3 linked regions of the Oryzias latipes genome follow. The protein of the gene in region 2 binds, or shares a complex with, the protein of the main gene of each other region. Links are inferred from orthologs where the notes say so. Each region holds a gene or a part of one and is shown on either strand. Other genes may lie near its edges. The genes, in order: nup107, nup205 and nup188.

Region 1 (4,197 bases), on a different chromosome or scaffold from region 2:
GCGCTGGAACAGCTGCTCCACCACCACCTTCTCGCTCTCACCGGGAACCTGGAGGCACAAACCCAGAACAGTTCACCTCAGGGCCGGGTTCTGATCCGGAGACTGAGCTTTAAGAGGAAATCCTCTGTCTGTTTGGGTTTCATCACTCACAGCCATATCTGCCATCATGTCATCTTCCAGCGCCAGCTGGACCCGGTCCCTGCAGAACCAGACGGTAGATGAGTCAAATGAAACGGGGAAAGGAGCTGTGGTGCAGTGGCAGGTACCTGTAAAGCGAGGCGATGAGTCTCCAGGTACAGTTCTCCTGCTGCAGCAGCCAGCGGACTCCTGCTGTTTTACTGTTCTGACCGGCTCTCAGAACCACAGACTGGAGAACGTTCACCTAAAACATGACGCAGAGCCGCTCAGCGTGACGTCCAGAACCTGATCTGCTCAAAGGCATCGCTCTACTCTACCTTCTCCTGGCAGAGGCTCTGATAATCCTCCAACAGGTCAAACACCGCAGAGGAAGAGTGCTTCAGAAAGGAGGCAAGGAATTCTGGGAAAAGACTTGCAGCTGCTGCAGAGAAAGCAAAGTCAGGAGAGGTTGGTTATTAAAAAATGATACGCTTTCTTCTTTAGAGGGAAATGTACCTGGAGATGCTGCTCAAACAACAATGAGGCTTTTTCGTTTCTCATCAATTATTCAGTCTTTTACTGTCATCACATCATAATTTCACATCAGGTTTAAAAACACATTTTAGGACAAGCTTCGAGCAGCGAATTTGACACCCGATTGGCGTGTGATGTGAAGGCATGAAAGTGGTTTGTTTTCCTCACCTGCATCTCCTGGATCGTCCTCCTTGAGCAGGGCTGAGCTCAGGTTGGCAGCATCGTCTTTGAAGAAGCTGGTGTTCTCCAGTCCAGACACGGGCGAGGTGTAAAAGCTGTTGGTCCAATCGCTGTCGTCCAAATTCTAGATACGCAATGGACGGGTTTGAGTTACAGACTGCAGCTGATCCCGGCTGTCCCTGCACATTAATCAGGGTCTCACCAGACTGCTGAGCGCGTTTCTGGGCGTGTGCATGAATCGAGGCGTTCGACCTCCAGGAACCAAAAGAGAAGAAGTGGCTGGAACCCTGGGGGTGACTGAGAGGCAGAGACATGAGGTAGGAATAGCTCAAAGCCTCAGATCTGACATGAATGTGAGCATCTCACCGGCCTGCCTGAACAACGAGGCAGGAGTGTTGATCAGGTGGGGGCGGGCTGGTGTTGCAGCAGAAGCGATGGGGCTGCCACCACTGGGTGACGGGACTGAGGCCAAGAGTCAGGAGAAACAAAGAAACTGTCCCGACATATAACTGTACACACAGACGCACAGAAACACACACAGCTACTGAAGCTGGAGGATACAAGCCACTTTCTTCCTCCTCCTGGCTGCGACCGTCACCTCCTCCTCTCGAACCACCGGAGACGGAAGCTCATTCTGACCCCTGGAGGTCAGAGAGATCAAAACAGAAACATACATTATCTTACTTGAAAAGCCAATTTTCTCCTAGTTTCATTTCAATGTGAATCAGGAACAGACGAAAAAGCGCCAAATGAAAAAGATAATAAATATCATGTAGCAAATATGCCGTTTGGGGCCACAAGTTCCATTCTGATGCATCCAATGCAAGAGAATGCAAGAGATCACATCACTCCTGTGTTGGTTTCGCTCCATTGGCTCCCAGTTGATTATAGAATCAAGTTCAAGATCCTCCTGTTAACCTATAAGGCCTTACATGGAATGGCCCCGTCCTAAATCAAAGATCTCATAGTTCCTTACCACCCAATCAGAACACTTCGTTCGCAAAACGCAGGACTGCTTGTGGTTCCTAGAATTAGTAAAAGTACGGTTGGAGGTAGAGCGTTTAGCCACCAAGCCCCTGTCTTATGGAATAAACTCCCAGCTCATGGAAGAGAGGCCGACTCAGTTTCTACAGTCAAAGTTAGACTTAAAACATTCCTCTTTGGACAGGCTTATTGTCAGACTAGTTAGTATTCAGAGATTATTTAACTTAATGTTAATTTGTTTAAATTAAACTTAATAACTTTCTTTTAAAAGGCTGCTAGAAGTTGAAGCTGGGGTAACTATGGTGCACTGGGGTTCTGTCCTCTTTTCTCTTCTACTTCTACCCTTCCTCTCCTCTATTCTTGATCATTATTCATCATTTAGTTCTCCATGCCTCTGTTTGGTGCAGTGTGATTCATGTATTGTCACTCTTTTCCTCTCCCCTCCTGGGGAGTGGGAGTGCTTCCAGACTCCAGTTGGATCATCCGTGCTCCAATTGCTGACCGTCTACCTCGCCTTTGCTCCTGCTCCTACACCTGGCTGTGGATCCTGCCTCTGACTCGACTCGCGCCTTTGACTGTCCCCCCAACCACGGCTGGATGAAGCTCGTCTGCTGGACTTTAAATGTGTAGTTGTAGATTTAGATAAGTAAATTCTTCTCTAAGAGTTCTGGTAAATCGCCTGTCCGTCCTGGGGGAGGATCCCTCCTTCATGTGGACACCCCTGAGGTTTCTTCGTTTTTCCGGAATCCGTTTTTATGGGAGTTTTCCCCTTAAAATTGAATTGAATTGAATTTAATCCATTTGCCGACAAAAATTGATCCATGAACGTTTTTGTTTTCCACGTCTGAGCTGGAATCTGGATCAAAACTGTACAACTGAGAGATCTCAAATATGGGTGACGGGAAGGGGGTGGGGTTAGGTGTAACTCAGGTGTACTAATCATTAGTACACCTGAGTTGAGGGAGTTTAATTAACTCCTGCCGCTCTGCAGAAGAACATACTACTACTAGTATAACTGTGTCCAAGAACGACAAGTGTTTGTCTTTTGGCTAAAAAAACAGCACAATCAAAAAAATAAAAACACTGGGAACGCTTTGAAAATAGATCAGAATTTAACCTAAGTGGGTCTTTAAACCTATCATTCATTATTTTTGACTAAACAGACGTCATGACATTCAGCTGACTGATTAGCTTGATGCTAGCATCGTTTGCTAATCTGACTCTTGTAACGTTTCCCGGAGACAACAAAAACGCAAAAACTGACCGATCGAACCGTACAAATGTGAACGTATCAGTGTTTCACAGCTGGTCACATTAATGACACAAAAATTTAAAATGTTTTACCAGTCCATGCTGGAGCCGATTCCCGCTCCGATATGTTTTCTTCTTCTCTGGTCTTTTACTTCTTCGCCTCTTCTCACGAATCTGCCTTTGAATTTAAGGTAAATCTGTCAGGCCTGTCAGCTGACTGCTGCCCCCTAGAGTTCACCATTAGATTACATCTATTTTTGAGAGGACGAAATAAAAAAGACAATATAAATATTAATTTAAATATTAATTAAGCATATACATATCTTTTAATTTTCACTTTTCTTTCAGTAATCCTATTATTTGTAATTTTGTGTATCAATTTGCCTTTTTGTGTTTTTTAGATTTATTCATTTAGTTAAATAGATATTCAGATCCACTATTTGATTAAAAAAGTTCACATTTGTGTAATTGTGTCATATTTACATTTTAAGTGATTATTCAGTCATTCATTTCTTTGGCCTGTTCAGCTGCTGAAAGACAGAGTTCCTTGTGTGTTGTACAGATTTTATGTTACAAAAGGTTTTCTTAAACACTCCAAACTGTTTAAACTTGTATTTTAATAGCTGATGTTATTTGAACTTCCATCCAGAGAACAGAATGACAAAGAACACATTAACCATATGATATGATGCATTTGATCTAAATCAAATCAAATAGTTGTCCTGCATTTTTTTTAAATGACTTTAAAGTTGTGCCTAATTTTGATATTAAATAAACAGGAAGTTTTTAGAAAAAAGGGTCTTTTTTAACAAGAGTGAACATTGTAATGTCAGGAAGGAAAATGTTTCAATACGTCTGATTTCAAAGATTGTGTATTATTTGAAAATTCCGTTTAAAAAAACATGTTGAAAAATATTTTTATACATTAAGATACACTTTATGTTCCCTACATAGAAGTTGAATTGTGTCGGATAAACGCTTTTAAAAGGATGTATTAGGAGTTTTTTCCCTTGTCAATTCCCGGCTGTGGTCGGAGTGAGACGTCTTTCCTAATAGACCATCTTTGTGCTCTGCCCTCCGCTCCGTTAGCTGCCGCTGTTGCGTGATCGATTCACGCAGCTCAGCTAAAGC
Region 2 (4,242 bases):
AAATATAACCTTTATTTAACCAAGTAAGCTATTAAGAACATGTTCTTATTTAAAATAACAACCTGCTTTTAGGGCATACGATAAAGAAATGTTAGCAGGTTATCTCACCGGGTTCCTGAAGAGTGAGAGAAAGTGTGGTTTGTGCTTTTTCAGCTGCAGGTCCAACAGGTGGACACTCTCCGTCTGTCTCCTCAGGATAGCTCCATCTACAGTCTCCCAGAGCTCTTTGAGTGGCCCCCACAGACTGGCTCCTGAAGGGGTCAAAAGGACGTTTACACAGATATTTTCACAATTATTTTTCACTCTACTGACGAGATGTTTGAGTTCTCTCCATATCAACACCCTCCTAAACTGTCACCCCCACAAACTAAGATGCAGGAACAACCCAGATTGAGCAGGAATAATGTCCACGTTTGGGCTTCATTTGCTTGATATGGTGGTCAGAAGAAAAAAAAAAGTCTTGATATTTAGTCAAAAAATAAAGGACAAAACAAATCAAAGTAATTCCAAATCATAAATTTTAAAGCACTTTGAGTTCCGCAATGTATGAGAAGCGCTTTTTAATAAATACAGTTTGATTTGATTTCCATCCAATTTAATCCTGATTATGTTGAAAAAAGTCTATTTGTCCTGTTAGAATTTTAATGGCAGCCTAAATGAGTGGCCAACACACACTATTTAAAGGGTTTCAACCGTGGAGAGGAAAGCCTGCTCTTAGGGGAAAAGTAGGCGGAAACCTCCAGCAGAGACAACCTCAGAAAATCCATCTTTTTCCTTTTACCTGCTCCCTTCAGAGATCATGACAGTAAATCTTCGTTAAAAAAAAAAAAAGGGATGAAAAAAAAAACCCAGAGGATCACAAAACCACAGCTAAGAACACGATTAAGATGGTAAAAAGTCGATCAATTCGATCAGGAAGTAAATGATCCGTTTCAGGTAAACTTTGTTTCTCTGATAAAGTTTGGCTTTATTCCAACTGGCCCCAGCAAGGCATGCCAGGTGTTTGCACTAAACATAGGATAAACCCTTTTTCCCCTTTAAATGATGCCTGAACAAATTAAAATGAGACACAGAAAAAAAAACAGTATAAAAGAATGTTTAAACTTGCTACATCAAAGACATTTAGATTTTTTCTCCCTTAAAATAAAATTCCCAGTTAGGGAAAAACCGTTTCTCTGTTAAAAGACATTTTAATTTACGGTTTTAAACGCCAAAAGCGTAAAATATATCTAGATTGTATCCATTTGGGTAAAAGTATTGGGCTGGACCATGTATTGAGAAGCGTATCAAATCATGTCAGAGAAAAAGATACACACCCCTAATGTAGGATTTAAAAAAACATAACAAGTTTAATAAAACAAACATCTTCCTGCCCAATCAGATTAATTTCATTCTTGAATCTCTCATTTTAACACAAACCTTACATACATGTCACGGTCTCAGACTTTTCTTTTTACAGAACATATAGGTCTTCAGAAAAAGCCACTTGCTTCTCAAAGCTTTAGTTTGAAGAGAAAATGACTAATTTTATCAACTATCTGCCCTGAATCTTTCAGTTTCCATAATGCAAGAGTCTTTATCTAATATTTAGAATTAATAATGAATGATCACTTGAATATTTATATATTTTGATGAGCAGAAAAACTGATAAACCTTTTTCAATGCATAGCAAGAGTTTAAACTTATTAGTTTAGAGATTATGAACATAACTAATTTGCCAGCATATTTTGGCATATAATCCATCCATGAGACGTTTATTTTCACATGAATACAAATTGAATTAAGTCGCAATATTGGACTGAATTTTTTAATTGATGGACTTTAATTATTGTCATTTTCTTATAACTTTAATTAACTGAACATTCCCGGTCGCCACAAGTCTGTCTTATGGCCTCGATCTGTCTTAACTTGACTAGAACCTGAGTCAAACTAGCTTCCTTTGGCCTGACATGATGATGAACGAAGCTAGGCTAAAGTAGCAAACAGTGCCATACTTGGAATGACTCAAACGGGTAAAAACGCGCTACAACAGAAACGCCGGACAAGGTTACACGAACCTACACCTAAATAATAATTAAAACAAACACATTTGTAATCAAAGGTTCAAAAAGAGTCTTTACCTAAATTTACCGCCATCTGCCCCGCCATGATCAGCTCAGGATCAAACCTGGACGTAAGATGCTGCGCATGTGCCCGTTTGAAATCTAACACGATAAATTGTTTAATCCAGAAGATATATTTTTAATTTGTTGATTATGTCACTCATCATTTAAAATTTATGTAATCAAACACATTTTTTTCCTGTAAAATATTCATTAAATATTTTAAAATAGGATTGTACTATTAGTGCAGGCGGGGTCCTCGGAAAGATTTGGGCAACCGTGCCCTGTGGGAGTTGTAGTATATAATGAAGTGTGTGAACACTACAATTTCAAAAATGAAATCAAGGAAAACATCTTACATATATTCATATTTTGTGAACTTGTATTGTTTAATTAATAGTTAATGGTAATATGCAAAAATAAGCTCATATTTTTTATTTAAAAAGCGACCGCTTTAGATGTGTAGATATTATTTCCGCCTTGTTTTAGACGGAACGATTGTATTGTTACACCACTCCTTCCACGCAGTGTGAGTTTTGACCGCTGTCACAAAAACACTTTAAATCGTCAGAATCTTTGCATTTTGAGTATGTGACAGAGGTAGACTGTTTTTTTGTGGGGATTAATAATCATGGCTCGGGTTGTAGAAGTATTTAAGACGATACGGAATCACTGGAAAAAGTCCACTTTAGCTGTGTGCGTCCTGTCCTATGGGGGGTATTGGTTGTATGGTAAACATTGGTGAGTTTTTATTTATCTTTGAAAATGTCATCCAAACTGGGTTCACGTGTGTAGCTCTTTCTTTATTCTGTGTTTTATGTGTTTCTAGCGACAGTCTCCTGCGCAGAGAAGCTTGTCAGTTGGCCAGGGTAAATGTGAACTAACTGTCCTTTTATTATTATTATTTCATGTGAGTATGCCTCTAATAATTATTGCTATTCTAGGAATTTGGACGGCAACAGATTGCCCCACAGGAGCAACTAAAGAAAGCAACTGTAATTTTAAATCCTGCAGCTTGCAGCGGGTAAGAAGACGTCAAAAATGCAAATCTGATTTCTTCCTTTCCCTCCTACTAATTATGCATTTATTTGTTATAATTTTCTCCAGGAAAGCCAACAAATTATTCGAAAAGAATGCAGCTCCAATTTTACACCTGGCCGGTGTGGAGATAAAAATAGTGAAGGTTTGATGGAATTTTGTAAACATGGCTTTGGTAGGTAGAAATCCTCAAATATCCCATCATGCCTTGCTGAATGTCATATCATGTCCTCCACAGACAGATTATGAAGGTCAGGCCAAAAAACTGATGGAGTTGTTGGAGCAGACAGACATGCTGATCGTGGCTGGAGGAGATGGCACCTTGCAGGAGGTCATCACAGGTTTGCTGAGAAGGCCGGATCAAGTATGCAAAACTAATAATGTAATTACATAAATGTTTTTAGGTTTATTTATAAGATGCAAACTGAGATATGTTTTCTGACTGCAGGATAGTTTTAGTAACGTCCCGATTGGGTACATTCCTCTGGGTTCTCACAATTCCCTGAGTCCGAGTCTTCATCTCCTCAGCGACAACAAAGTTAAGTAAGTTGAAAACAAAAATCTCTTTTTAAAATGTTTAAAATGAACTTGTATTTGATGTGATAAACATACTTTTTAGGGACATTACTTCAGCCACACTGTCGATTCTGAGAGGAGAAACTGTACCTCTGGATGTGCTGCAAATCAAAGTAATAAAATATTTTTTTTTCCTGTTAAAAACATGTACATTTTAATGCATAAGTTACTTTTTAGCATTCATATTTCCTACAAAAAACCCCTGTGAGTTTACGCTGCAGTGCTGACGTGTGTGTGTTTTTTTTGTAGGGAGAGACAGATCAGCCCGTCTTTGCTCTGATGGGTCTGCGTTGGGGGGCTTTCAGGGACGTGGCCGCCACAATCAGCAAGTATGGTTGTTTGGGCTGTAACCATGGTTACGCGATTGATCGTGCATACGAATAAATGGATTAATGCACTTTCAAACAGATACTGGTACCTCGGACCATTGAAGACAAACGCAGCGCACTGGTTTCAAACTCTGAAGGTACATTTTCTTCACATAAAACCTTTTTTTTTCACTAAGAAAGGAGTATTCCTTATTCTG
Region 3 (4,142 bases), on a different chromosome or scaffold from region 2:
CGGACAGTTCAGTCACAGACGCGGGTCACAGATGTTCATATATGTCTATGAATTTAGGTTATACCTGTAAGCTTTCCTCCTCAAATGAAGTGATAACAAATGACAGGAGGCCGTAGATGCACATCCTTGCTGTACTTGCTGTACACTGAAGAGCAAAAGACAAAAAAATAACATTTATTGAAACGCTCCTGTAAACAAGTCATGCATTTTAAACCATGGGAGACCTTGATGGAGAAAGATTTTCCCAGAAATGAACCGTTATTTAGATTTTCTATTTGTTATTTGCACAAGCAGACAAACTTATCACAATAAACAGTTCTATAAAAGTAGAGAAATGTAAAGGTTGTGAGAAAATGAAAGCAGATCAAACCTCTTTCTGCCATAAGATTTCTTTTAAATTGTTCCAATTTATTCAAATGATTTTGTTTGTACAAGTTTATGGGGTCAAATCATCTCAAAGTGAAAAAAAAAGATTGTACATTATTTTTTTTATTTTAAAACAGATCTAAACTGGAAAGGGGCACATTGTAAACTTAAAAAACAAATTGGTGCCAAACTTTGAGAGGGCGTTCTCAAAACTGTACGCAGCATTAGAGGAGTGACCAAGAACAAACGCTGTTTGGGAGGGGAAATGATGTCACCAAACCTCTATCAGACTATGTCTGATGTCTGATCTGATGTCCATCATGTCCCAGAAGATAATGGACTTAAAGCTCCACTCCCCCCACATAGAACTAGGGGGCCAATACCAAAAGCGAAAAATCTGAATTACAACTGTAAATGGAGAACTAAGAAAACAAAAAAACATTGGAAGTACAAAATAGCAGCTGTTGCAAATAAATATTATTTTCCTTTGGTAACAGTTTATAGTAAACAGTGCTATAAACTGTACAGTATATAAGTTTATAGTTTTTGTTAATTCAAGTTTCAAATATACTTTTTTCACATTTTAAGTTAAGAAAATTTAGAAAACACTTTTGCTTAAAATTTACAATTATTTATTGAAATCATAAATATTTCTTTCAAATTTTCAATGCGTACTTTTGGTGCGTCCGATAGTCGAACCTCGGATTCAGGAACAACAGTGCGGTTTCCGTCCTGGTCGTGGAACAGTGGACCAGCTCTACACCCTATCTAGGGTGCTGGAGGGATTGTGGGAGTTCGCTCATCCAGTCCATATGTGTTTTGTGGATTTGGAGAAGGCGTTCGACCGCGTCCCCCGTGGCATCCTGTGGGGGGTGCTCTGGGAGTATGGGGTCCGGGGAGCCTTACTGAGGGCTGTCCGGTCTCTGTATGACCGGAGTAGGAGCTTGGTTCGCATAGCCGGCAGTAAGTCAGACCTGTTCCCGGTCCACGTTGGACTCCGGCAGGGCTGCCCTTTATCACCGGTTCTGTTCATTGTTTTTATGGACAGAATTTCTAGGGGCAGCCAGGGGCCGGAAGGGATCTGGTTTGGGGACCACAGGATTTCCTCTCTGCTTTTTGCAGATGATGTTGTCCTGTTGGCTTCATCGAACCGGGACCTCCAGCGTGCATTGGGGCGGTTTGCGGCCGAGTGTGAAGCGGCTGGGATGAGGGTCAGCACCGTTAAATCTGAGGCCATGGTCCTTGACCGGAGAAAGGTAGTTTGCCATCTCTCGGTCGGTGGAGTGTCCTTGCCCCAGGTGGAGGAGTTTAAATATCTTGGGGTCTTGTTCACGAGTGAGGGAAGATCGGAGCGTGAGATTGACAGGCGGATCGGAGCGGCGTCCGTAGTTATGCGGTCGCTCTATCGGTCCGTTGTGGTGAAGAGAGAGCTGAGCCGAAAAGCAAAGCTCTCAATTTACCGGTCGATCTACGTTCCAATACTCACCTATGGTCATGAGCTATGGGTCATGACCGAAAGAACGAGGTCCCGAATACAAGCGGCTGAAATGAGCTTCCTCCGTAGGGTGGCTGGGCGCTCCCTTAGAGATAGGGTGAGAAGCTCGGTCACCCGCGGGGAGCTCGGAGTAGAACCGCTTCTCCTCCACATCGAAAGGAGCCAGCTGAGGTGGCTCGGGCATCTAGTCCGGATGCCCCCTGGACGCCTCCCTGGAGAGGTGTTCCGGGCATGTCCCACTGGGTGGAGGCCCCGGGGAAGACCCAGGACACGCTGGAGAGACTACGTCTCTCGGCTGGCCTGGGAACGCCTCGGGGTCCCCCCAGAGGAGCTGGAGGAAGTGGCTGGGGTGAGGGAAGTCTGGGCATCTCTGCTCAGTCTGCTGCCCCCGCGACCCGGTCCCGGATAAGCGGAGGAAGATGGATGGATGGAATGCGTACTTTTAAGTTTAAAACTTTTGACTTTTTTGACATCTATTTTTAAAGTTTTACAATCTGGGTTTCCTTCACTTTAAGCAGATCCGGATTTGATCCCATACTAGTTGTTCTGTGCTCATAAATAAAAATAAAGCTCACCAAAAGAAACCGGTCTTTATGTAAATACATATAAAAGATGAAATTAAGTTTAATATTGTAATCTGATATTTTTACATGTAGACAAAAAATATTTTTATTTCCTTAAGATTCATAAGAGTGAGACTACTTTATCCTTTTCCATCTCAAATATGTGCATATTATTGTTTACATACATTATTCCCCAAGACTCCGAGGCCTTTCAGCATGCTGGACAGGTACTTGAACACCTCCAGCTGCAGGGCTGTGTGGCCGATCCTCCTGACCACGGGGCTGGACTCGTCCGGCCTCAGCGTGTGTCTTAGCAGGACCCAGGCTAACAGCACAGGCCCGTGATGAGGGATGTCACCAAACGTCAGCAGAAGCTGATCCATTTCCTGAAGCAGAAGCATTTTTTTTTTTTCTTTTTCTTTCTTTCTCACAGCTTTTGATGGACATTCAATGCGGGGCACTTTAACATCAAACCTTAATGATGTTGGGTGCACTGGAGAACTGGTGCTGCTGAGTACAATCCTCCAGAGCACACTTGTGCAGGAAGTCTACGTCCATTCCTTCAACCAGGATGAGGCAGCTTAAATACCTGAGAGACAGAAACACACACGTTTGTCTGCCTAGAAAAGTATTCACAAATAATCTATTAAACTGGTGTAGAAATATATAAAATAAATTGATTTAAAAAAAAAAGCATAAATTGGTCGGTTCTTTAACACAGACAGGAATAAACTGCTTGGGTGGTCCAGAGCAGCGCCTCCATTAGCAGGACCACTGACTGATAGGATTAGTTTTTGTTTAAGGTTATGTCATTATTAGCTTGTTTTGTCTGTCAAGTTACTTTGGATAAATGTTTACATACATACATCCTCATGTGACCTTTGTCACTCACCCTGACATAAACAGAAGAGTCTTTTGACTGATGATTATGAAAGATTACGTGCTAAAAAAGTCATCTATACCAGTAAATTTAAAGTAATTCAAGTTTAAACCACATTTATAACTAAAATATTAAGATTAGGTCTAAGAACTCAAAAATCCTCAAAGAAAAAAAAGTCAAAAATACTACCTGACCTCTTTTACACTTACCCAATCCGGTCAACAAGTGCATCCATGCTCTTATCCACCAGGTGTCTGTTGGTTTGTCTCAAACCAAAGCCTTGTTCTTTGAACATTTTGGTAAAACTCAGAAGATCAGAAGGACTCATCTCGAAGTACGCGTGGTGCAGAAAGATTATCTCCAGCAGCAGAGACTGTTCTTTCAGGCAGCGCAGGAACCATCGTGACACCTGTCTTTCCGTCTAGTAAGAAGCAAAATGGAGACTGAATCCTGCAGCCTGAAAGCAGCTGATTAACACCTGAACACACTCATGCGTGTCATTACCATCAGGTTTCCATGAGTTTCCCAGGTTGGTGCTTCAGCTTTGAACAAAGCCTCAAACTGTGACTGGCAGTTGCCTACCAAGTCCTTCTCCAGTTTGTTGACACAGTTACTGTACTCAGCCTTGACAGAAACAAACACAAGAGCTGATTCAATAACAGACGTCGTCCATGAAGGCTCTCACTCATCCAGGTGACATCTTAAAGTCGAATCATGGCATCTGGACTTGAAATCCACACAATAAAAGAAGTTCCACAACCAAACTTTTAAATACAAAGAAAAGAAAGCACTCATTCAGGTTTCTGTAAAAGTTTGTCATTCTCACCCGATAGGGATG

What was found.
Region 1: the proteins of nup205 (region 2) and nup107 are in contact, whole or in part, in a cryo-EM structure (PDB 7WB4), measured with the Xenopus laevis proteins. The link is inferred for Oryzias latipes from reciprocal best matches to the Homo sapiens genes NUP205 and NUP107. Residues at the interface, in XP_041443600.1 of Xenopus laevis: Gly1247, Gln1248, Arg1249, Pro1250, Ser1458, Arg1506, Gln1507, Leu1983, His1991, Gln1995; in NP_001091312.1 of Xenopus laevis: Gln134, Glu136, Pro189, Tyr282, Tyr283, Gln770, Ser772, Phe773, Thr774.
Region 3: nup205 (region 2) and nup188 share a complex: the UniProt entries of both Homo sapiens proteins name them as parts of the nuclear pore complex. The link is inferred for Oryzias latipes from reciprocal best matches to the Homo sapiens genes NUP205 and NUP188.

Annotation. Positions count from the first base shown.
Region 1 is NC_019881.2:22,230,188-22,234,384, forward strand, and holds the start of nup107 (nuclear pore complex protein Nup107), read right to left. Parts: upstream 3,263-4,197; 5' UTR 3,168-3,262; coding exon 3,160-3,167; intron 1,473-3,159; coding exon 1,393-1,472; intron 1,294-1,392; coding exon 1,198-1,293; intron 1,129-1,197; coding exon 1,034-1,128; intron 956-1,033; coding exon 820-955; intron 560-819; coding exon 456-559; intron 383-455; coding exon 267-382; intron 200-266; coding exon 151-199; intron 49-150; coding exon 1-48. UniProt on the Homo sapiens protein: Plays a role in the nuclear pore complex (NPC) assembly and/or maintenance. Required for the assembly of peripheral proteins into the NPC. May anchor NUP62 to the NPC. Involved in nephrogenesis.
Region 2 is NC_019864.2:29,315,075-29,319,316, reverse strand, and holds the start of nup205 (nuclear pore complex protein Nup205), read right to left. Parts: upstream 2,225-4,242; 5' UTR 2,149-2,224; coding exon 2,121-2,148; intron 252-2,120; coding exon 109-251; intron 1-108. Other genes in the region: agk (acylglycerol kinase, mitochondrial), read left to right, coding at 2,734-2,843, 2,932-2,971, 3,047-3,126, 3,210-3,285, 3,379-3,504, 3,589-3,683, 3,760-3,829, 3,966-4,045 and 1 more. UniProt on the Homo sapiens protein: Plays a role in the nuclear pore complex (NPC) assembly and/or maintenance. May anchor NUP62 and other nucleoporins, but not NUP153 and TPR, to the NPC.
Region 3 is NC_019870.2:8,138,684-8,142,825, reverse strand, and holds part of nup188 (nucleoporin NUP188 homolog), read right to left. Parts: coding exon 4,131-4,142; intron 3,929-4,130; coding exon 3,809-3,928; intron 3,726-3,808; coding exon 3,514-3,725; intron 3,014-3,513; coding exon 2,899-3,013; intron 2,811-2,898; coding exon 2,610-2,810; intron 146-2,609; coding exon 65-145; intron 1-64. UniProt on the Homo sapiens protein: Component of the nuclear pore complex (NPC), a complex required for the trafficking across the nuclear envelope. Required for proper protein transport into the nucleus.